2 linked regions of the Oryctolagus cuniculus genome follow. The protein of the gene in region 1 purifies or fractionates together with the protein of each later gene. This does not show direct contact. Links are inferred from orthologs where the notes say so. Each region holds a gene or a part of one and is shown in the gene's direction. Other genes may lie near its edges.

Region 1 (11,478 bases):
TTGCTGAAAGAAGGTACGATCCATCCAAACTGACCTTGTACATGTAGAGTTTTGGGACAGAAAAGCAGGTCACATGGACAAGGTTCCTTTTAATTGCAGCACTGTGTTGAGACCTATCATAAAGAATCCTAATAGAGTGTGCTTAGTTGAGGCTGCTTAGATTGGTTAAGTTGTCAAAGTTGCTCATTCTCAGCTGACAGATTGCCAAGGCAAAGAAAGGTTTAGGGGCATGTAAAGGAAGTGCACAGTGAGCCCTGAAGGACATTGTGAGCTGATTTGATGAAGACATTTTGTAGGTTGATCTCGGGTTCCCTTGAGTACACAAAAGGAAAAAGAAAAGAGAAGGTGTATATGGAAGAAATCTCTTAAAAAGACAAGATTTCGCCTGTATGACCCCAAAGTGGTGTGAATATGCCTATGAAAGCAAAAGGATTTTGCCTTGTGTTTTTATGTTCGTGAACACTTCTCCTTTGCAAAAATTAAAGATGTTCCCCGATAAAGATTTGCTTCTTTTTTATAGCCCAGGCTCATGTGAAATAAAACTAACTTTTTAAATGTAAACAATTAGACGTGTTTTCTTGATGTGTATGATTGACGTTTTATAGCACATTTTCATTTGTAAGCTATTGAAATAGCAACGATAAACCTATAAAATGTTTCCACAAAGATCTGCCAAACTTGTAAGGGAGACAGCACTGTTTACTCTCTTGTATATCTGGTAAGTAGTTTTCCTTTGTGGAGGTGTGTGGGGGGGGGGGTGTTGGTTTCAAATTGAAGCTTAGATGTCAGAAGCTCAAGTGGACATGTTTTGATCTAATATGTCCAGCATATGGTGAAGACTGTTAATTGCTTCTTTTTAAGGTTTATTAGGTGGGAAACTTGGGATGATCCTGGAGATTGAGATGTTCAGCTCCATTTTGAGGGATTGAGTTTCTACCACTTGTTGAAAGTTCTGCCCATTGACCAAGAGCTGTGTACACTATGTTATATGATACTTAGATGATATCATTGACAGTGAAAATTTGTGGAAGGTCACTATTTCTCACTGATGAACTGTGTTAAATGTAAAGGTAAGGGTTCATTCCTTACCCGTGGTATTCCAAGGACAGTGAAAACAAAGAGAGCAGGTTTTCCAGCTCCTCTGCCCTTTTTGTCTGCCACAGGACTACCAAGTAGTCCTATTCTTGATAAAGCAAAGCATAGTGATGCTAATAAAGGCAGTGGATTCTTGGGGAGATCCCTGGCTAAACTGGAATCTGAGTTGACCTGAGATCTCATCCCTGGTATCCTGTGCCAAGTCACATCACAGTCTCCCACCCCCACTCACGAACAGGAAAAAACAAGTCAGAGCTCTTCAAAGCGGGGAGACTAGTTTGAGGATACCTTTGTAGGAGAGTCCAAATGGAGCCAGGTTCAGATCTCGGTTCAGCCACTTAACTGTAAACCTTGGACAAGTTTCTCCATCTCTGCTCCTCAGTTGTCTTAATTTGCAAAGTGGAGATGGCAGTTACTCCTGGAGGGGCTGTTGCTCTGAGTCTAGCTTCCTGATGTGCCTGTGCCATGATGGCTACAGAATGACCCTGCCTTTTATGCTGCAGGTCCAATCTGTAATAGGCAGTCTGGAGAACCTGGTGCAGCCTCCACTGTGGTCACTGGACAGTCCCTGTTCTCCCACAAGCAGTCAGGAGAGCATTGCTGAGAGGCAGGTGGCACGAGCTGCTGGAGCAGTTGGAGAGGATGGCACCTTTATGAGGGAGGGCACACTGGTGGTCCTTCGGTTTCCCTTCCCTTCCCCTTCCAAAGGTGAATTTCCTCACCTCACCCCTCCTCCCAAACCTGGAAGTAATGTTGCACTTGCTGAAGAACTAGTAGTGAAAAATGACTACTGATTAATAAATCCTGTTGCTGAAGAAAAGGTTTTGCTGAGGAAGGGACAAATGATGGCTTCAGAGTTGGGTTGTCACTGGGGAACAGGGTGTGTGTAGTGCAGCATGTGGAACACAGCAGTACCTTTCAGGTGACACAGGTGGTTTAGCAGATGTTCCTCTTTCTCTGGGTAGTAATCGAATCCCAAATAGCCTTGGGCCCTTTTCTCTTGTGAAATTGCCTTTTGTTGTGTAAAAGGGAGGAATGTTAATTTCACCACTTTAAGTCAAACATTTTTTTAGGAGCCAGTGAGAAAGTGTGTATTTGTGCTCAAACACAGCAGTCCGGAATTAGAACTGGAGTTGAGCTTATTGTTCATGTAGACTTTGTCCTACAGATACTGTGCTGTGTTGCAGGCACTGAAGAATTCCAAGGGTGGATTTGCCAGCAGCAGAAGCATTTAGATGAACACCTTACTTCTGTGTACCAGTATACTGTTGCAAACAGTAGCCTTGGCAGCTAACTTTAAGGGAACGATCCGTTCTGCATAAACATACTTCCTGGGTAGCCAAAAACTACTTCTTGTAAACATGCCACATTCATGCCATTGAGAGTAATTCATGAGGTATTAGTAACTTCCTTTTTTGTCTGTTCATCGCTAACTCTCTTTCCTACTACAGTTTTACACACATCCAGTCTTCAAGTTTTATAATCTCTTTGATTTCTCATTTCCAGGTTCGCTCCCCACCCCAAGCCCTGTAGTATCCAACTGAGACAGCCTCCCCAAGTTGACTTTTTTTTTATTATTAAATTTATTTGTTTACTTGTTTGTTTATTTGAAAAACAGAGTCACAGAGAGACTTCCATCTGCTGGTTTATTCCCCAAATGGTTGCAGCAGCCGGGACTGGGCCAGAACAGAACCAGGAGTTTCAACCAGGTCTTCTATGTGGGTGCAGGGGCCCAAACACTTGGGCCATCTTCTGCTGCTTTCCCAGGCGTATTAGGGAGCTGGAACGAAAATGCAGCAGCTGGGACTTGATGCCGGCTCTGTAGGCCATGGCTTAACTGCTGCTCCACAGCACGGGTCCCAGAATTGACCTGTTTAACTAGAAAGACAGTTTACTTAGCATTCCTCTCTTGCCTCAGTAGAAAGTGCTTCTGTTCCTTTCCTCAGGGTTTTTCTGGATGGTTCTCTGTCCTTTGCCCCTTTCTCTTGCTTGCGCCCAGTCCTCCCTCCTTCAGTGTACTGCATGATTCAAGACCTCTTTGCTTTAGAAATCTTCCCTGGAGGGCCTGGCACTGTGGCACAGCAGGTTAATCCTCTGCCTGTGGCACCGGCATCCCATATGGGCACTAGCTGCTCCTCTTACAAGCTAGCTCTCTGCTATGGCCTGGGAAAGCAGTAGAAGGTGGCCAGGAACTTGGGCCCCTGCACCCTTGCAGGAGAACTGGAAGAAATTCCAGGCTTCTGGCTTCAGATCAGCCCAGCTCTGGCCATCGTGGCCATTTAGGGAGTGAACCACCGGATGGAAGACTTTTATTGACCTGGCCCTGAGCTGGCTAAACTTGGTGACAGAGGTGGGAAGAATGAGATCTTTACCATTGAGGAATATGTGGCTGATTGGCAGTTATGGGGCCATGTGGTAAGTGACATCCTAGAGCATCATAGGTATCCTGAAGTGAGACACAGCTTTCAGACTCAGCATGAGTGCTAATTAAGCTGCGGGTTCTCTGGGGCCAGGCATCTGACTTAGCTTTGAGTCTCCCTCTTTTTAGGGTCCTCTTAAATTGAAATCCAGGTACCTTCTCTTGTTCTTGAGTCATACTGCTCTGGAGTACAGTACACATACTGGCCCAATTGAAATTCTCCCTCAGAGTGTAGCTTTTCAAAAGTTTGAATGGTTTATTCATATTATTAACCCATTTCATTTTATTTGAAGCCCTGAGTGTTGATAAGTGTATGGCACCTTCACTCTAATTCACCTGGCTTGGTTAGCCCCTTAGCTGATGTGTTGTGTCTCTCCTGAGTGCTTAGAAGTATTAGAAGACTTTTCTTGTCATCCATATAAGAGACTGCAGAGGGAAACTTACCTGTTACATACAAGCGTCCTCCCTGTGTTTGAGGGGCAGGGGCTCAGAGGAAGGATGTTTCTACTTCCTATGTGTTTGAGTCTCTTGCTCAGTGGTGAGTGAGGCCACTTGGGTTCTTGGCAGAAGTGTGCTTTGAGGCTAGTGGTTTCATGGTGTGCTAACCTACGACCAAGGCCTGTGTTGTTGGAGGCTGATAGGAAGTTTGCTCTGAGATTGCACTTAACATCAGATATGTATCCTTGCAATCTGTGCTGCCACCCAGCCAGCACATAGGTCAACCTTAATGCAGTTGTGGAGTAAGCATGTGTCTGTTGCCAGCCACCTTAGACTCCCTTCCAAGAGATGCTCCAGGAGTAACCCTGCTTCACCCAGGGAATCATGCCATGTACCTAGAACAGCAGAACTGTAAAAAGGCAACCTTACTCTGTTTTCCTAGATGGGTGTTTCCTAATCCTTCAACACAGACTCCCCGCCATGCCTGAGCTAGATCTGCTGCTCTGCATTATTTTCCTCTGGGGGTGGAGAGAGCTGTAGGATCTGAAGGTGACCATTAAGTTGTGGCAGACGGTTGTTTCGCCTTGTTAAGGACTCACTTGGGTTTTGTGTTTGGGAAGTATCAGTAGAGATGTCTGTATAGATGGGAATGTCTTTGAAAACTAACATTACAGTAGCCCCTCCCCTCCAATCTAAGACTCCCTTTTCAATTGTGCACTGTACTAAGTATCACAATGAAGTGCCAGGTCCTCCCGTGCCACCCTGACCAGGACACTGATTGCCTCTTTGTCCTGTGTGTCCACGCTGTATCTGCTTCTCAGCTGTTGGTCACTTAGTAGCCATCTCTCAGATCAACAGTCAGAACAATAGTGTTTATACACACACACACACACACACACATACATAGGCTTTCATTCTGGGTTTTCAGGCATCCACTAGTGGGGGTAGGGGAGAGGGCTATAGTATATAGAAAGAATCCATAGGTATTCTTTTCTCCTTTTCTCTTTTGGGTGTATGAATGGCTAGGCCCTGTGAATAGTGTTTGGCACCACTTAGCATTTGTGAACAATAGTGCTGAGAGCCAGTGTCAGTTGGAGATTGGCACGATATGATGGTTGATGCCACAGTGAATGTGTCGTTTGTCTTGAGAGTTCTTCATGGTGACTTTGAACCTTCACGGCCCTTTGGGAGCTGGTGTGAACCAGTGTTACCTTTTATTGCTCTGGATGTGTTATCTATGCCAATCACAGAGCTGCAGGAGAGCAGACCAAGTCAGAATAATTAGATTGAGGAGTGAATGTCACACTTCTGATTTCATTCTCTTTTCAGGGGATTATCAGTGTTCATTTAATAAAATGAGATTAACCCTCTACAACAGAGTTATTTGAAAGCTGTCAGTCAGTATTATCTTGACAGCTCAAAAGAAGTAGTGTTCTCAGCACTGTTAGAAACACTGTCATGCTTATTGGCCAAAAGACTATTTTACCGTATGGGGCTACATGTGTTTGTGTTAGCACACGTCAGTGTTTCATTTCCGTTGAAAAAGAAACCATACTGTCTCAAAATAATAATGTAGAAATAAAACCATATAATGCATTTTCTGTTGCTGGCTATCAATCATGAAATACCTCAGAAGTTAGGAGATCAAACAAAAAATTCAAAGAAATACTTAAAAGCAAATAATGATACTATTTATAAAGCAAATAATGATACATCTTTTCTTGGTTATTTTAGGAAACCTCGAATCAATTCTCAGCTGGTGGCACAGCAAGTGGCACAACAGTATGCCACCCCGCCGCCCCCTAAAAAGGAGAAGAAGGAGAAAGTGGAAAAGCCAGACAAAGAGAAACCTGAGAAAGACAAGGAAATCAGTCCTAGTGTTACCAAGAAAAACACCAATAAGAAAACAAAGTAAGTCCCTGGGTAGCAAAGTACAGTATATTACTTGGCAGGTGAACCACAAGTATCTTCTAAATGCTGCTTTTTTGTATCCTCTCTTTCAGACCAAAGTCTGACATTCTGAAAGACCCTCCTAGTGAAGCAAACAGTATACAGTCGGCAAACGCGACAACAAAGACCAGTGAAACGAATCACACCTCAAGGTACTTTAATAGAAGAAGTTGTGGTTCTGGTGGATTTGTCGTCATCCGGAACTGCAGGGTGGTTTTGTATTTGTGGATCTCTAGGCTAAGAGATACGGGCGGAGGGGCAAGGTGTTTGTTGACCTCTTTATTACTTTAAACTACTTCTCTGTGAGGGTGGTGCAAGTAAGAGAGGGGTAAATTAATAAGAATTTTGCAGTGGATCCGAAGTGCTGCGAGCCCAGCAGTCATTTCCGTGATTGCCAGAGTTGACGCGCACACTCCGCAGCCAGCTTTGTCATGGTTGTTAGGAAGTTTGGATTCACTGCCGTGGTGTCGTGATGACTGTAGGTGTGTTGCTGGTGTTTTGCCAGCATGACTTACTTAATTGACTGTTCTTTCATGGTGTTGCTTTCAGGCCCCGGCTGAAAAACGTGGACAGGAGCACGGCGCAGCAGTTGGCAGTGACTGTGGGCAATGTCACCGTCATTATCACAGACTTTAAGGAAAAGACTCGCTCCTCCTCGACATCCTCATCCACAGTGACCTCCAGTGCAGGGTCAGAACAGCAGAACCAGAGCAGCTCGGGCTCAGAGAGCACAGACAAGGGCTCCTCCCGTTCTTCCACGCCAAAGGGCGATATGTCGGCAGTAAATGATGAATCTTTCTGAAGTTGCACATGGAGTTGTGAAAACTATGAATCAGGGTATGAAATTCAAATCCTCCACCTGCCCATGCTGCTTGCACCCCTGGAGAATCATCTGTGGACATCGACCTCTTAGTGATGCTGCCAGGATAATTTCTGCTTGCCATGGGCATCTGGCCACCAAGGAATTTCGCACCCTGACGATTACTCTTGACACTTTTATGTATTCCATTGTTTTATATGATTTTCCTAACAATCATTTATAATTGGATGTGCTCCTGAATCTACTTTTTATAAAAAAAAAATCTGCTGTGCACAATTTTCCATGTACATTACAACTGGTTTTTTGTTTTTGTTTTGTTGGAGGGAGGGTTGGGAGGGGGAGGGAACTTTTATTTATTGTGTTCACAAACTCCATCCTTTCAGCATATCCTTTTAAGTTTAGTTCTTTCTTCAAGTTATACTATGTACTATCAGTTTTGATATAACTATATATATATAAATATAAAATTATATCTAAAGGGTTATTTGAAACCAATCCATGGCAGCGCTGGTGCTTGATACACTGTGAAGTGAATACAGCATTGAACAGTCACAGAAAGTGCTGAAATTAAATTAAAGTCAGTCTTACATGAAGTGTGTTCCAACCCATGTGGGAACTGGACTCTCATCTGTCTAAAGAGTACTGGATGATATAAAAATATATATTTTTTCAAACAATGTGATCTCAAATTTAAAGACTGCTCCAGATAGCCTGCATTTGCGATGGAATAACTGACAAATCACAAGTGGTTTAGTTGGGGAGGGCTTTGATCACTCAAAAGTAACTAAACTAGCTCCAGAATGCCAAGTATTCGTGTACATTACGGTTACATGTTAACATTGCTGTCTTACATTAGCACTCATGAAAATATGGTATTCTGTAACTCGAATTCCATCCGTTTTCCAGACCTCTACTCATGTCTGAAGGTAAACCTAGAAATTGTCTCTTAGTTTTAGGATTGAAAGCGTCTGAGCTGTGTTTTTGGTCCATAGGAAGCAGCCCCTTGTTCCCACTCTGCACATGACATTGCAGTGGCAGTTGCTCTGATTGAAATGTGTGTGCCTCCATGTCCCCTCACTTTTCAAACTTTCACCTTCCCCAGTTCTGTTGTGAGAATGCTTTGTCTGTCTTTCTTGAAGCCTACTGTGGTTGGTTTTATGGAGCAAAGGTTATCTACCGCACATCCGGTCCTGACGTGGAGCTTTGCAGTGTTCAGAGACATTTCTCAATTCCCTGCTGTGGGAAGAACTCAAGTAGCGAATGGCTTGAGCTGTGGCTGCCAGAGGTGCCGGGAGAGCTCACACTGAACTGTGAGCGCCTGTGATCTTTTTCTTCCTCGACGTAAAGATAGCTTGAGCAAAATTTTCAAGGTTTTCACTCTTTTTTTTTTTCTTTACTGTCTTGAAAAAATCAAAGACCACTAGGATGATTCCACTTCTCCTCATTCAAACAACAAATTCTTTCGCTTCGCTTCTGTTTGATTGGAGTCTCTCTTTGACTTGCATTCATACCGACGGAGTTTGTAGTACTTCCGAGTCATTGCAAGCATGAGGACTGATGTCACCTTCCTTTATTTGGTCATACCTTTAAGGGCTCACGGGAGGGCAGGTAATGTAATGAAGCACCATGTTTTGGTGTGAAAAGCCTGGTTTGCTATTAATCAGGATTAATTTCTGTCTGGAGGCAACAAGTTAAAAAAAAATTAACAGCTTGAATTGAGTAGCCAACAGGAAAGGTTCCTTTCACATTTACATTAAAACTATTGTGCAGTCACTGATGTTCCATACTTTAGATTCTGTTCTGGAAGGTCTAGGTAACGAAGCAGTGCCATTTGTTGCTGTGATCCTACTCTCAAATGCATGGACAATGTTCCCTTCTTTTTAAAAGTAACGCTTGTGTCTGGGATGCAAGCTATGCTTATCTTTTTAAATACATTTTTAAAGTATTTATTAATGAACCAAAGGAAATTAGATGCTTCCCATAAGCATCAGAATATATAATACATAGTAATTTGACTATGAATTTTAAATCCACATTTTAATATTAGTGGGATATTGCAAAGACATTCCTTCTAAAATTTTAATAGTCCTTTTATTAAGGGTCTCAGGGAGGGTAAATTAGTCAGCCATATTTATTTTCCAGAGGTGTAAGGGATTGCTAAGTTTTTTAATTAACTTTTTAAAAGAAAAAAACTTAAATACCACCAAACTCATATGTGGGTTGCACTGCTTTTTGAACCAATTAAGTGTTGGTATGCACTTTGTTCAGAAATACTGTGTACTTTTTCAAAATTAGTTTCATGTAAAGTGATTGGACCCCCTAGATTAGTGGAAAAAGCTGATTAACCAGCTACTCATAGGCTGCTAATTAATTCATTGCCAATGTCTTGGTTCTTCAGTTTTGCCTCCGTGATAAATTAAAGAATGGGGCGGGGTGGAGGGAGAGGAGTAGCTCTAGAACAGGTGGTAGGAGCGGCAGCCAGTGGTTGGTGTCATAAGCACTCAGGTGAGAGTGCGGAGTACCCCTCTGCTGCTGCTGTGCGTCCTGTTGGCATCGCGAGGGGTAGGGACCTCGGACTTGGGATTCCTGAGATTGATGACATCCCTCAGGCATGCATTCTGGAAATGGAATTCCTGTAGACTTCGCATTTGCTGTTTGCCCTACAATTAGTAGGCAGTGCGTAAAAACACTAGTGTAGATGATGAGGAGATATATTAAAAGAGGACCAGAAATATTTGGTATTCAGTGGCACAGAAAGCAGGTTACAAGACACAACAAAAAGCACAGTGTTAACGCTTGCAGTTCCCCAGTTGTTTTATTACCACACGATCGGTCACGTTTGTGCGTGCATGCGCACACACATAGCTTACCTGACTTGCTCTGTTTAGTCATGCAGCTTAAAAAAAAAAAGACATCTTGACACCCACAAAATATGTTAATCTGAACCTTTCTGTTTCAGTCTGGTTATTTAAACAATATTGGCGAAGCTTCTGTGAGTTTAGTTCCACTAAGACGTTTCACCTGCCTTACCAAGACCATTCTCAGTCTACTTTTTTAAGCTACCATATCTTAAATTATTGAAAGTTTATTAATTGCTGAGTATATAATAACCTTTGCTTGTATGTAACCGGAAATGGTTTAAGAGCCAACATTTAGAGTATGACAATGGAGCTGAACAGTTTTTAATGCGCAAGCCGTTCTGTTCTTGTGTATGACTTGTAACCTTAATTTACTGTGTAAAGATGGTTACATTATTTCCTTAGCTTTGTTTGTTGGAGACAAATAGAGAATGCTTGTTAAGTATGTCAAAACATAATCTTATCTTGTGAATTTTTGTCAATGTATTATACGAGCTCTATTTTTCCTTTGCCCAGAAAGACAGCTTGTATAGCGCTTCTGGAAGTTTCTGCTCTGCAGCGTCTTTAGAGCGGGCGGTCTGTTGGGTTTGGTTTTCCTTCATGCTAAAGTGTCAGTTGGTGGTTTTGTGAACTGGTCAGAAATTCACAGGTCTTAAAGGTTTGGGGGAGATTTATATTGGACACTGCTCTTTGTCTAGCAAATAAAAGATGTTAATATATTCCTGTTACTGGCATGTGCACGACCATGTTATTAGAAGCCACTTTATCATTTTCCTGCTTTAAATAGAAATGTCTATTTATGAATTCTGCTTGTAGTTTTTTCACAAATAAAATAGTAAAATTTACCTTGGAAATCTTTATTATTTTTGCATGTGTGGATTTTAGCCCTTAGCAAGAAAAAACAGCTCCTTGTACCCAGAAATTCTAACTTAGAATATTTCCAGTTTGACCAGTTTTTTAGAACTTGAGGTGTTGGATCAGAAGCTGAAGTTGCTTTGGGTGTCTTAATGTGTGTGTGTTTCAAGGATGCCACGAAAGACATCGCTGAGGAAGGGAGTGTGTCCTACAGATGGGGCGCGGTGCTGTAGAGAAACGGGGGTGGCAGCTAAAGGTGACTCGTCCAGGGTTCGTGGGCAGTTGCATGCAGGTGGCGGGCCGAGAATAGCAGGCTGGCACTCAGCCCACCCCGAGGCCCTGGAACCTACTGGGAATCCGGGAACCACTTAGATCCGTCCCTGGGTACTCTTTGCCCTGGGTCTGCACTTGAACTGGTGCTGCGAGGAAGACGGTGAATTGTGCAACAATGTGTCCTGGTGAAACCTAGTGCAAGCTCTGCTTCACAGCCTTCACAAGTGTGAGGAGGGCTTGAAGGGGAGGCGAGGATGGGCCACAAGCCACGCTTTGCACACCGACAGATAATCTTACCCTCAGCCTTCTGTTTCAGAGGGTACCTGAGGGGTCCTTTGTGAGGGTGCCCACTGCTGGTGACATCCTTCAGGGGATGCCAGGAGCTTCTCACTAGGTGTGGGCGCGCAGTGAGTGCTGGGCCCCTGCGGTGGGAGCTCAGGAAGTCTTGTAACATGGTACAGGAAGGAAGGTAACAGGAAGGAAGGTGGAGGTTTTCTCTGGTCCTCAGCTCAGTGCCAGCAGTGACACTCCTAGAGCAGGGTACCGTGCTCAGGCTGTGACTCCTGGTTTTCTTTTTAGACTGATTTATTTGAAAGGCAGAATGACAAGAGATCTATCCACTGGTTCACTCCAAATGACCACAATGGCCAGAACCAGGCCTGGCTGAAGCCAGGACCCCAAGGACTCCGGCCATCTTCCTCTGCTTCCCCAGGCGCATCAGCAGGGAGCTGGAGTGGAAACAGAGCAGCTGAGACTCAGAACTGGCAGTC
Region 2 (11,478 bases), on another chromosome or scaffold:
ATGAGGGATCTCTTTGAGAAACTGAAGATCACTTTGGGATTACTTCATTCTTCAAAGGTTTCCAAAAGTCTCATTCTTACTCGGGTAAGTATTTTGTGTAAATGAGAGGTAATAGCTTGACTAAGAGAATCTTACAGAGATGGTAAGTAAGGGAATCCATTGCTATGCCAAGGAGACTGAACTAGAGCTACTTACGTATAGCAGTTGAATGTGGACTAATAAATGCCCAATGAATCTCAGGAAAAATGATTATGTCTGGTCAGTAGCTTTTCATTGGAAGTCATGTTCTTAATTGGTAGAGCTGTTGTTTCCTCAGGTGTCATCAAAAATTCTGATTGGACTGTTTCCATGGTCTCTACATTTTTTTTTTTTTCTTTTTAAGATTTATTTGAAAGGCAGAATTACAAAGAGAGGGAGCGACAGGGAGATCTTTTTGCATTGGTTCATTTCCTAGATGGCTGTATAGGCCAGGGCTGGGCCTGACTGAAGCCAGGAGCCTGGAACTCCATCCAGGTCTCCCTCATGAGTTGCAAGGCCCTAAATATTTGGGCCATCTTCTGCTGCTTTCCCAGGTGCATTAGCAGGGAGTTGGATCAGAGTGATGCAGTAGGAACTGGATTGGCACTTGTAAATGGGGTGCTGGCTTTGCAGGCCATGACTTAACCCTCTGTGCCACAATGCTGGTACCATTTACATTGTTATTGTAAGCATTTAGAGCAGCTTACCACATTGTAAAGTAAAGTATAAATGGTATTTTAACATACCTGACAGGTTTTTTTTTTTTTTTTTTTTTTTTTTTTAAAGATTTAAAGAGAGAGAGCTCTCTTTTTCTGGTTCTCCTCCAAATGACTGTAACAGCTGGGTCTGGGCCTTGCCAAAGCCAGAAGCCAGGACCTCGTTCTGGATCTCCTACATGGGTGGCAGGGGTACAAGTACTTGGATCATCTCCTGCTGCCTTCCTTGGGGCATTAGCAGGAAGTTGGATCAGAAACAGAGTAGCCAGCATTCTGATATGGGATGCCAGTAACCGGTTATCCCACTGCACCAAAACACCAACCCCAGTTGACAGTCATAAAAAAGTTTGTAATACTCAGGCTAGCAAAAGTTCAAACTATGTACATAAATTGCCTGAGTTTTTTTTTTTTTTTTTAAGATTATTTATTTGAAAGGCAGAGTTACAAAGAAGCAGAGGCGGGGGGGTGGGGTCTTCCATCCAGTGGTTTACTACCCAGATGGCCACAACAGCCGGAGCTGCGCCGATCCAAAAGCAGGAGCCAGGAGCTTCCTCTGGGTCTCCCACATGGGTGCAGGGGCCCAAGGATTTAGGCCTTCTTCCACTGCTATCCCAGGCCATAGCAGAGAGCTGATCGGAAGTGGGGTAGCTGGGACTCGAACCAGTACCCATATGGAATGCTGGCACTGCAGGCAGTGGCTTTAGCTGTTATGCCACAGTGTCAGCCACTAAGATAATTTCATTTGAATTGCCTTTTTTTTTTTTTTTTTTTTTTTGACAGGCAGAGTTAGAGAGAGAGAGAGAGAAAGGTCTTCCTTCCGTTGGTTCACCCCCCAGATGGCTGCTACGGCCAGCGTGCTGTGCCGATCCAAAGCCAGGAGCCAGGTGCTTCCTCTGGTCTCCCATGCGGGTGCAGGGCCCAAGGACTTGGGCCATCCTCCACTGCCTTCCCGGGCCACAGCAGAGAGCTGGACAGGAAGAGGTGCAACCGGGACAGAATCTGGCACCCCAACCGGGACTAGAACCCGGGGTGCTGGCGCCGCAGGCGGATTAGCCTAGTGAGCCGCGGCACCGGCCTGAATTGCTTTTAAGTAGAAGTTGGAGAAGTATGAGTAAGCATTCTTATCCACTTAGAGCAGAATTATTTTAGCCAAATTTATTTTAAAGTTGATTACCAAAGTCTAAGTTGGAGAATTATAAAAAGGAGTTTCTGAAACATCAGTAATTATTTTAAATGGTACTATGGAGTCCTCTAAAATATTTGAACTTTTTTATTATTAAACAAATTATGTAGGCTTTGCCTATTTTGAGGAAAGAGTAGGTTAACTGACCTGATTATTTCTATTCTAGGCGTTCAGTGAAATTCAGGGGCTAACAGATCAGGCAGACAAATTGATAGGACAGAAAAATCTCCTGACTCGAAAACGGAATATTCTGATACGGAAAGTATCATCTCTTTCAGGTAAGATATGTAAATTACTTGTGGTAAATTAATAGTAAGTTTAGCAAAGGGAATCCTTAATAGACTTTTCAGATACACTTAGTGTAAGACTTTGCTCTCAGAGTTTGCAGCAGAGTTATCTTTTGACTGGGTGGGATATTTCCTTTGCATTGCAGTCACTCTTGCCTTTTTCATAGTATTGGACAATATAGTTAAGTCAGCTGGACTCAAGTTGACTATATTTCTCATTATTACGTGGAGTCACACAAAGAGTGATCATTTATTCATTATCAACCTGTAGGTAAGACAGAAGAAGTGGTCCTGAAGAAGCTAGAATATATTTATGCAAAACAACAAGCATTAGAGACACAAAAAAGAAAAAAGAAGATGGGATCAGATGAGTTTGATGTGTCTCCCAGAACTAACAAGCAGCAGGAAGCATCTTGTACATCGTCTGTAGATCTCGGACAGATGTTTATAAATAACAGGAGGGGGAAACCTTTGATTCTTTCCAGAAAAAGAGACCAGGCCACAGGTAGGAGGGACATTCTTTGCTTTTTTGATGTAGATGAGCATCAGTCTAGTTTAGGTACTGCACATCTCTTGGCCAAAAATTTAGTTTTAATTAAAGGTTTCAAATTAATTAAAGGTTCTATTAAAAAATTAACTATTTTGGGATTTTTTTAAAGATTTGTTTTTTTATTTATTTGAGAGGCAGAATTAGAAAGGAGGAGGGACAGAGAGAGAGAGGGATCTTCCATCCACTGGTTCACTTCCCAAATGGCCTCAATAGCTGTGGCTGGGCCAGGCTAAAGCAAGGAGCTTCTTCCAGGTCTCACGTGGGTGCAGGGGCCCAAGCACGTGGGGCCGTCTTCTGCTGCTTTCCCAGGCCATAGCAGGGAGCTGGATCAGAAGGAGAGCAGCCGGGAAGTCCCAGCGCCCTTATTGGATACTGACTGACACTGCAGGCAGTGGCTTAATCCACTGCACCACAGTGCCAGCCCCTGTATTTTAGTTTCTTGCTTTATACAAATCCTGAGAAGTTATAGATCATGATAACATGTAAGTCCTATTTCTGATAGCAGTCTACAGTCACATATTTTTAGTGTTTTTTTTTTTTTTTTTTCACTTTGTATGATTCTGCTGATTGGTTGAGGAACTGTTGGTATAGCTAAGGCAAATAAATTGGAAATTAAAAAAATGTTTTTGCATAAGATTCTATTTTTCATCAGATCACCTATCAATGCTGTTAAGGAATAAAGTAAATTGGTTTTAAGTTCTTTCTTCTCTTGATTTTGAAGGTGAGGCTGTATCGATTTTATATTATTTATATCCTTAGGGAAGAACATACCCCTTTTTTACTCTTAGGGTAATACAGTGTGTAAATTAGGAAATCTGGTGTATTATATGAAATTAAGATAGTGATATAGTGATGGATACTAAAACTTGAGATAGTTTAACATTGCAAAAATCAAAAGAAGTTTAATGACCGTTTCTTCTTTCACCTCATTTCACAGATGAGAGAACCCTGAAGCCTAGCAACTTAATTTGCTAGAGGTACATAGATAGGAAGGGAAGCCCAGGGATGGAATTCTGTATGCTTCCTTTCTCACTATCAAGACTTTTGCAAGCATCCCATTGAAAAGGTGGTTCCATAGCTCCGTTCCTCAAAAAATTAATTCTTTTCTTTAGGAGAATCAGTAGACAGGTAACCATTACTCATTGAAAAGTGTTCCAGGAAAGTAAATTTTGAATTTTGTTTTCCTAACTGAATTTGAAATTTACTTTTTTAAAAAAATTTGATTTATGTATTTATTTATTTATTTGAAAAGCTGAGTTACATAGAGGCAGAGAGAGAGAGAGAGGTCTTCATCTGCTGGTTCACTCCCCAAGTGGCCACAATGGCCAGAGCTGAGCCAATCCGAAGCCAGGAGCTTCTTCTGGGTCCCCTACAAGGCTGCAGGGGCCTAAGCACTTGGGCCATCTTCTACTGCTTTCCCAGGCCATAGCAGAGAGCTGGATTGATAGTGGAGCATCTGGGACTCGAACTGGCAACTATATGGGATGCCAGCACAGCAGGTAGCCACTTTACCTGCTCTGCTTCAGCACCAGCCACTGAAATTCTTTCCTTTTTAAGTAAGAGTGTGATTTTAGAGACACTCTTAGGCTCCAGGGTTTCATTCCAAATTAATTGAAGGTCTTTAAATTCCATAACTAATTTTTAATCTCCTTTACAGAAAATACCTCACCTTCTAACTCTCCACACACCTCTGCAAACCTCGTGATGACTCCACAGGGGCAGTTGCTCACGTTGAAAGGTCCCATGCTCTCAGGACCAGTGGTGACTGTTTCTCCTGCTCTCTTGGAACCTGATCTAAAGCCTTGTCAAGTTGCCAGTAGTGCTATAGCTCAGTCAGGTATGTTGTTAGTGTTGTATTCTTAGGTTGCGAAAGTTATCCCTGGTTTCTCACAGTGACAAAAAAAGCCTTTGAACATATACTGTGGTGATACAGAGCTGTTAGGTTGGCATTTGCCTTGTAATAGATAAGCCTTTTTTTTTTCTTTTTTTAAAGATTTGTTTGTTTGAAAGGCAGAATGACAGAGAAAGATCTTCCATATGCTGGTTCACTCCCCAAATGGCCTCAATGTGGGTTGCAAGGGCCCATGAACTTGGGCCATGTGCTCTTGCTTTCCCAGGCATATTAGCAGGGAGCTGGATGGGAAATGGAACAGCCAGGACTCGAACCAGCACCCATATGGGATGCTGGTGCCACAGGCAGCAGCTTTACCCACTATGCCACAGTGCTGTCCCCAGGGCCTTTTTTAAGAAGATGTTTGGGCCGGCGCCGCGGCTCACTAGGCTAATCCTCCGCCTAGCGGCGCCGGCACACCGGGTTCTAGTCCCGGTCGGGGCGCCGGATTCTGTCCCGGTTGCCCCTCTTCCAGGCCAGCCCTCTGCTGTGGCCAGGGAGTGCAGTGGAGGATGGCCCAGGTGCTTGGGCCCTGCACCCCATGGGAGACCAGGAAAAGCACCTGGCTCCTGGCTCCTGCCATCGGATCAGCGCGGTGCGCCGGCCGCAGCGCGCCGACCGCGGCGGCCATTGGAGGGTGAACCAACGGCAAAAGGAAGACCTTTCTCTCTGTCTCTCTCTCTCACTGTCCACTCTGCCTGTCAAAAAAATAAAAAATAAAAAAAAAAAAAAAAAAGAAGATGTTTGTGGGGCCGGCGCTGTAGTGTAGTGGGTAAAGCTGCTGCCTGCAGTACCGGCATCCCATATGGGCACCGGTTTAAGTGCTGGCTGCTCGACTTGTAATCCTCAGCTCTCTGGTATGGCCTGGAAGAGCAGTAGAGGATGGCCCAGGTACTTGGGCCCCTGCACCCGCGTGGGAGACCCAGAGGAGGCTTCTGGCTCTTGGCTTCAGATCATCGCAGCTCCAGCCGTTGCAGCCAGTTGGGGAATGAACCAGTGGATGGTTCATTCTCTCTATCTTTCTCTGCCTCTCCTTCTCTCTCTGTGTAACTCTGACTTTCAAATAAATAAATAAATATATATTTTAAAGATGTTTGTCTGAATCTGTGGTGTTGATTGATATGTTTTACCTGGGATTGGGAACTGTTTTGTGTATTGTTGTTAATTCGAAGTAAGAGAAGAATCAAAAAGATGTCAAAGTGAAAAAAATGTTCAGTCATTGTTTTATTTCTTGGTGTTGATGAATATTTTATCAATTTTGTGTTGTACTCAGAAATGGTACACTCCACAGTTACCCCCTGATTCATTTTGAATGTCATTCTCTTTTGGGGAAGATCATTTTGGAAAGATCATTTTGATGATTTAGGTTCTAGGCCCATAAATCTCTGCTTAGGTAAAAAGGGTATGTTAAAATCTTCCTTCCTTTGTTGACAGCCTAACAGTTCTTTGTACCTGCTTCTAAATCCTCTCTGGAGGACTCTTCCTTTTCTCTTACTATGCCATCTTTTATTTTCCACTGAAAGTAACAATTTATTGAACAGAATCAAGATACATTTCTGTTTCAGCACAAGAATTAATTTGGGGAGGATTTCTATAAAAAGTAAATAGCACTTTATTAATGGTAGAATATCAAAGAGTTTTGGTTGGATTTTACTGGATCATTGGTACTTCTTTAATCTTGATGAAAGTAGACTGGTGGGGCCAGCGCCGTGCCTCACTTGGTTAATCCTCTGCCTGCAGCACCGGCATCCCATATGGGTGCCAGGTTCTAGTCCCGGTTGCTCCTCTTCCAGTCCCGCTCTCTGCTGTGGCCTGGGAGGGCAGTGGAATATGGCCCAAGTGCTTGGGCCCCTGCACCTGCATGGGAGACCAGGAGGAAGCACCTGGCTCCTGGCTTTGGATCGGTGCAGTGCTGTCCGTAGTGGCCATTTGGGGAGTGAACCAATAGAGAGAAGACCTTTCTCTCTGTGTCTTTTGTCACTGTCTATAACTCTGCCTGTCAAATAAGTTAAGGAGAAAAAGAAAACTAGTGAAGATGGTCATTTGATATGATTGTATTGAAGATGGGAGTGCCCACTGTTTTAGATCTAAATGAAATTTTTCTTATTTTTCAGAAAATGATGACTTATTTATGATGCCACGGATCGTTAATGTGACATCACTGGCCACAGAGGGAGATCTGGTAGATATGGATGGCTGTAAATATCCCCGTGAAGTTACTGATGGCAAGCCACTTGACCACCGGAAAGATACCATCAGGAATGAAGATAATCCCTTAGAGGATTTGAGTAGAATCTCTTCCAAAGGAAATCATAGAGATGGCAGAGTGGTGTTGAGTCCAACACAGGTTTTTCTGGCAAATAAAGATTCTGGTTTTCCACAGATAGTTGACGTTTCCAATGTACAGGAAGTACAGGAGTTCTTACCTAAAAAGAATACTAGTGATGTGAGAGGAATTCACTATAAATGGAAAGAGAGTGAGTCAAGAGGGGAGAGACTGAAGTCAAAGGAGTCTCCATTTCATAAATTAAAGATGAAAGATCTAAAGGACTCCAGCATAGAGATGGAACTGAGGAAAGTAGCATCAGCTATCGAGGAGGCAGAACTGGATTCCAGTGAATTGCTCACGAACCTGGAAGACGAGGATGATACTGATGAGACACTGACATCACTGCTCAATGAGATTGCCTTCCTTAATCAACAGCTGAATGATGACTCTGTTAGTATGGCTGAACTGCCCAGCTCTGTGGATACAGAGTTCCCAGGGGATGCTCGGCGTGCTTTTATCAGTAAACTTCCTTCTGGGAACAGAGCAACTTTCCAGGTTGGCCACTTGGGACCTGGTTTGAAAGATTTACCTGATGTTCAGGGGGAGAGTGACTCCATAAGTCCCCTCCTCTTACATTTGGAAGATGATGACTTTTCTGAGAATGAAAAACAACTTGCAGAACCAGCTTCTGAGCCAGATGTCCTTAAGATTGTTATTGACTCTGAAATAAAGGACTCTCTCCTTTCCCATAGGAAAGCTAGTGATGGAGAGAAGAGTACTTCTGGCCTCACTACAGAGCCTGAAAATATGTCCTCGCCCCCCATCCTCCAGATGAAAACTGGCGTGGAGAACAACAGCAGTACTGATACTTTGTGGAGGCCTATGCCAAAGTTGGCACCTTTAGGTTTAAAAGTAGCTAATCCTTCTAATGATACAGATGGTCAGAGTCTCAAGGTGATGCCTTGCTTGGCACCTGTAGCTGCCAAAGTTGGGTCAGTTGGAAATAAAATGAACTTAACAGGGAGTGACCAGGAAGGCCGGGAGAGCAAGGTGATGCCTACGTTGGCACCTGTTATGGCTAAATTGGGCAACTCTGGAGCCTCATCAGGTTCTGCAGGGAAATGAAAGTATTTGTCTTCAGGCAGAAGCCAGATTGTGAGGGAAAATTGGATCTCACCTTCTTTCTCTGCAGGCATCTGTTTATTTGTGTCATAGAACAGTGATCTTTGACTTAGATGATGCAGCGAATAATGATAGAGAAAGAGGGTAGGGTGCTCGACCCTGGTACAAGAAATATTAAGGAATTCTGATCATGTTAAATGTGTTACCTCAATTGTGGTGCTGGGTCCCCTCATCCTAAGAAGACATGATCCATTTACTGAACTTGAGGTGCCCCCTTGCCCAAGGAATTCATAACAAGACTAGTTCTGTAGTGATTCCTAGTTATCTCCCAGCACCCACCCCACCCCAAGAGAAAAAGCTGCTTGAGACTTGGGGGCTCTTATGGACTGAACTGTAGCTGATATCTGTCCTGTTAAGTCTGAAATCTAAGGAATATGATGCACTTGTGTAAAAGGGATCCAGAACAGATAGTTTTTAGGTGTTTCAAGAATAGAGCGAGAGAATGATTATCATGGAATACCAAAGTGAAGGAGTTAGTATTGTTCAGCAAAATTTTCTCTTTGGTCTCCCAAGTAGCTTCCATTCCCTCACTTTTTCTATTGGAATTATAAATTCAAGCCTTTTGGTAAAGTAGGGTTACTTTTAACTTTTACTATTAAGGTAATTACTTCGAGGTGTTAAAAAAGTTTTCCCTGTTGTCTTTGTGGATGTTGGAAAAGGACATTTCACCATGCCAGGCATTTCTACTGGGGAATATTGGTTTTGGACGTAGGCAAAGAAGGGGGCCCTCTGCCTTTCACAAATCATGTCACTCACGAGATAGCTAAAATGAAAAGCATTTTCTCCCTAGATCAGAGACAGTGGCCAAATTAAAAAAAAAAAAAAATTGTGGGGCTGGATATTTCCTGAGTCAAACCAGTCTCCTGGTGCTTGAAGGTTTCATTCACTATTACCTGCACAGGATGTAAAGAAAAGTCACAGTAGGCACTCTACCAGGGAAATAAGGCAGTATTTGAATCACAAGATATATTTTTTATCTGCAACCATGGATTCAGTGATATGTAGAGATTTTTCACTCATTAGCTGTCAAGGTATGAAGGACTGACAGCCTGTAAAGATAAAGATATTTATATTTTTGTATAGTTTTCATAGATTTCTCAAAGGCTGAAGTTTTCAACCTAGAAGATGAGATTTGTATTGAGTATAGAAATGTTTCCTATCTAGTTTGTAAATAATCATGGTGCACTTGAGGGGTCTCTTGGAAACTCCTAGGGGCAAGAATCACTATTCTGAAAATGTATAGACTGGGAATTAGCTGCTGCATTTTGCCTTTCTTAAATAATTATATTTTGGAATGTAACCCCTGTTCTGTCTTCATTGACAGGATTTGCTTGTGTTGTAAAACACTAACACAAGAGCTTCCAGTGCCTGGGCTGTGCCTAGGTGATTCTGTTTGTTCTACATCCCTTGTCTCTGTATCCCAAATCCCACTCAGCATATCTTCAGAACTGGGTTGTGAGACCAACTGAGGAGTGTATCTAGCCAGTGAATTGTTACTTCCATATTTGATTCCCTTTCTATTAACTCTGGTAATTAACAGATTGAAAAGGGTGGGGAAACTTCTGCAAATTGAAGTGAGAGCACATTCTTTGTTGGTTTTATGCTGCTTACCTTTCTAGGCTTGCTCATCAATACTTAGTAACCTTTCCTCCATTGAGGGTTGCTATAGAAACATGAAGTAGGTAAAGAGTGCTCCTCAGCTTCTCATTGTCCCTTTCATTCTTTACCCAGCAGATTTCATTCAATGCCTTAGCCAAGGAATCCAGCACCTGTCTTCCCTGCTAATAATTGTCCTTGGAGATGCTAGTACTTTAACCCAGGTAATGGCAGTTTCCCACTGTTTCCTTGCTTGTCTCTTCCCGTTTCCTCCTGACTTCCCAAGGCTCTTAAGGCTTTTGAAGGTCAAAGAGCAGGCAAGTGAGTAATCCTCAGGAAAAGGACCATTTTAGCTTCTGAGCTTCTGAACATTTTAGCTTCTGAGCTTTCCTTTTTATAAGAAGAAGAAAATAAGCAAACCAGTCATAATTATCGATTGGAGGCTATTTTACTGTTTATAAGAGATGTACAAAGGTGGAAATGAGGGGTGATTCTGGATGTTCAGGGAAGGCTGCAGATGTCATTGCAAACTCCCAACATACAGTGTTCTTAAGACCTCTTAGAACTAGGAATTGCCAGGGCTAATTTGAGAAGGGCTTAGTCTTTAGAACAGGCTGTGTAGTCTTTGACAAAAATCTGAAGTCTCCAAAAACCCCTCCCCTTTAATGTTGACCCAGGAGAAACTGATTATGAAAATTACATATGTGATTTTGAGATGTAGAGTGAGAGGAGTTGAGGAACCTGAAAGACAGTGCGCTCTCACCCTCTTTTAAGAAGCATGATCTCACTACACCAATAATTCGCCTTTTTATATACATCTGTAAATAAATGGAATGTTTTTAAGAATATAATTATGCCAGATTTAGCATTTCCTTTTATATATTAAATATATATATATATATCTTTCCTTTTCTGCTTTTGAAAAGTGACTATTTTTTTAGAAACCGAAGAACAGAAGAAGTTTGGTGATTGAAAGGCAGAATATAAACTTGAAGTAAATCAGTTATACTACTTAAAGCAGGACTTGGTGTTGGGAGGTCTGTGCCGAGTTGGAAATAAAGAATTCTAATGCCCTGAGGTATATTTGAGAGAGGTGCCACTGAAGTAGTTTTATTATAGGAATTCCTTCCTGTTCTCAGAAGTTTCTGACATGCCATTTGGGGGGAGGTTTTCGGTGTTCTAATCCTTAAAGCTTGTTTTATGTGAAGGCTCTGAAATTTTGTACAACTTGATGGCAAGTATGTTTCAGAAGTCTTCCTCCAGTCTGTTACCTTGGAGAATAATGAGATGTGAACACAATCTTAGTGGCTAGACAAGTAAGTGTTCTTAAGTCAGGATAGGGGAGGGGACTTTAACAAGTTTGTGGAAAATGAGATCGAGAGGTTTATTTTGTTGGAGAAAAGTTTGAGATGGGTACATAGTTTCTTCATAATCCTCATTTACCATGAACTTTTTTGAAGACCCTCTTACATGTTAATTATTTTCATAATTTACGAAGAGATTTTATTAAATTTAGACATTGAACTACTCTTAATCTATTTAAGGTCACTAATAGATCAAGCTCCGTTATGTAAGCTTCTTACAAATTTGTTCACTTTGTGTAATTTTATAGTTCATGAAGTTGAAGTTCATGAAGTTTTTCTCCAGAATTATGGAAATGTTTTGAACACAGAAGAAAATGAAACAATCCATATATTATTTTGGGCAGGGTTTAGCAATATAAATTTTTTTTTTTTACTGGCTAAAATTTTTGAAATGGGATGGGATGAAGCAAAATGAGAATCAA

The links.
Region 2: the proteins of RYBP (region 1) and MGA purify together in Homo sapiens (affinity purification with mass spectrometry; 5 studies listed by BioGRID and IntAct, counting the BioPlex papers as one, with this or other methods). This does not show direct contact. The link is inferred for Oryctolagus cuniculus from reciprocal best matches to the Homo sapiens genes YAF2 and MGA.

The regions. Positions count from the first base shown.
Region 1 is NC_091441.1:76,867,345-76,878,822, forward strand, and holds the end of RYBP (RING1 and YY1-binding protein), read left to right. Parts: intron 1-5,686; coding exon 5,687-5,863; intron 5,864-5,955; coding exon 5,956-6,054; intron 6,055-6,451; coding exon 6,452-6,704; 3' UTR 6,705-10,425; downstream 10,426-11,478. UniProt on the Homo sapiens protein: Binds to MYC and inhibits MYC-mediated transactivation. Also binds to MYCN and enhances MYCN-dependent transcriptional activation. Increases calpain 2-mediated proteolysis of YY1 in vitro.
Region 2 is NC_091443.1:64,836,783-64,848,260, forward strand, and holds part of MGA (MAX gene-associated protein), read left to right. Parts: coding exon 1-84; intron 85-2,083; coding exon 2,084-2,195; intron 2,196-2,475; coding exon 2,476-2,709; intron 2,710-4,411; coding exon 4,412-4,591; intron 4,592-6,759; coding exon 6,760-8,039; 3' UTR 8,040-11,478. UniProt on the Homo sapiens protein: Functions as a dual-specificity transcription factor, regulating the expression of both MAX-network and T-box family target genes. Functions as a repressor or an activator.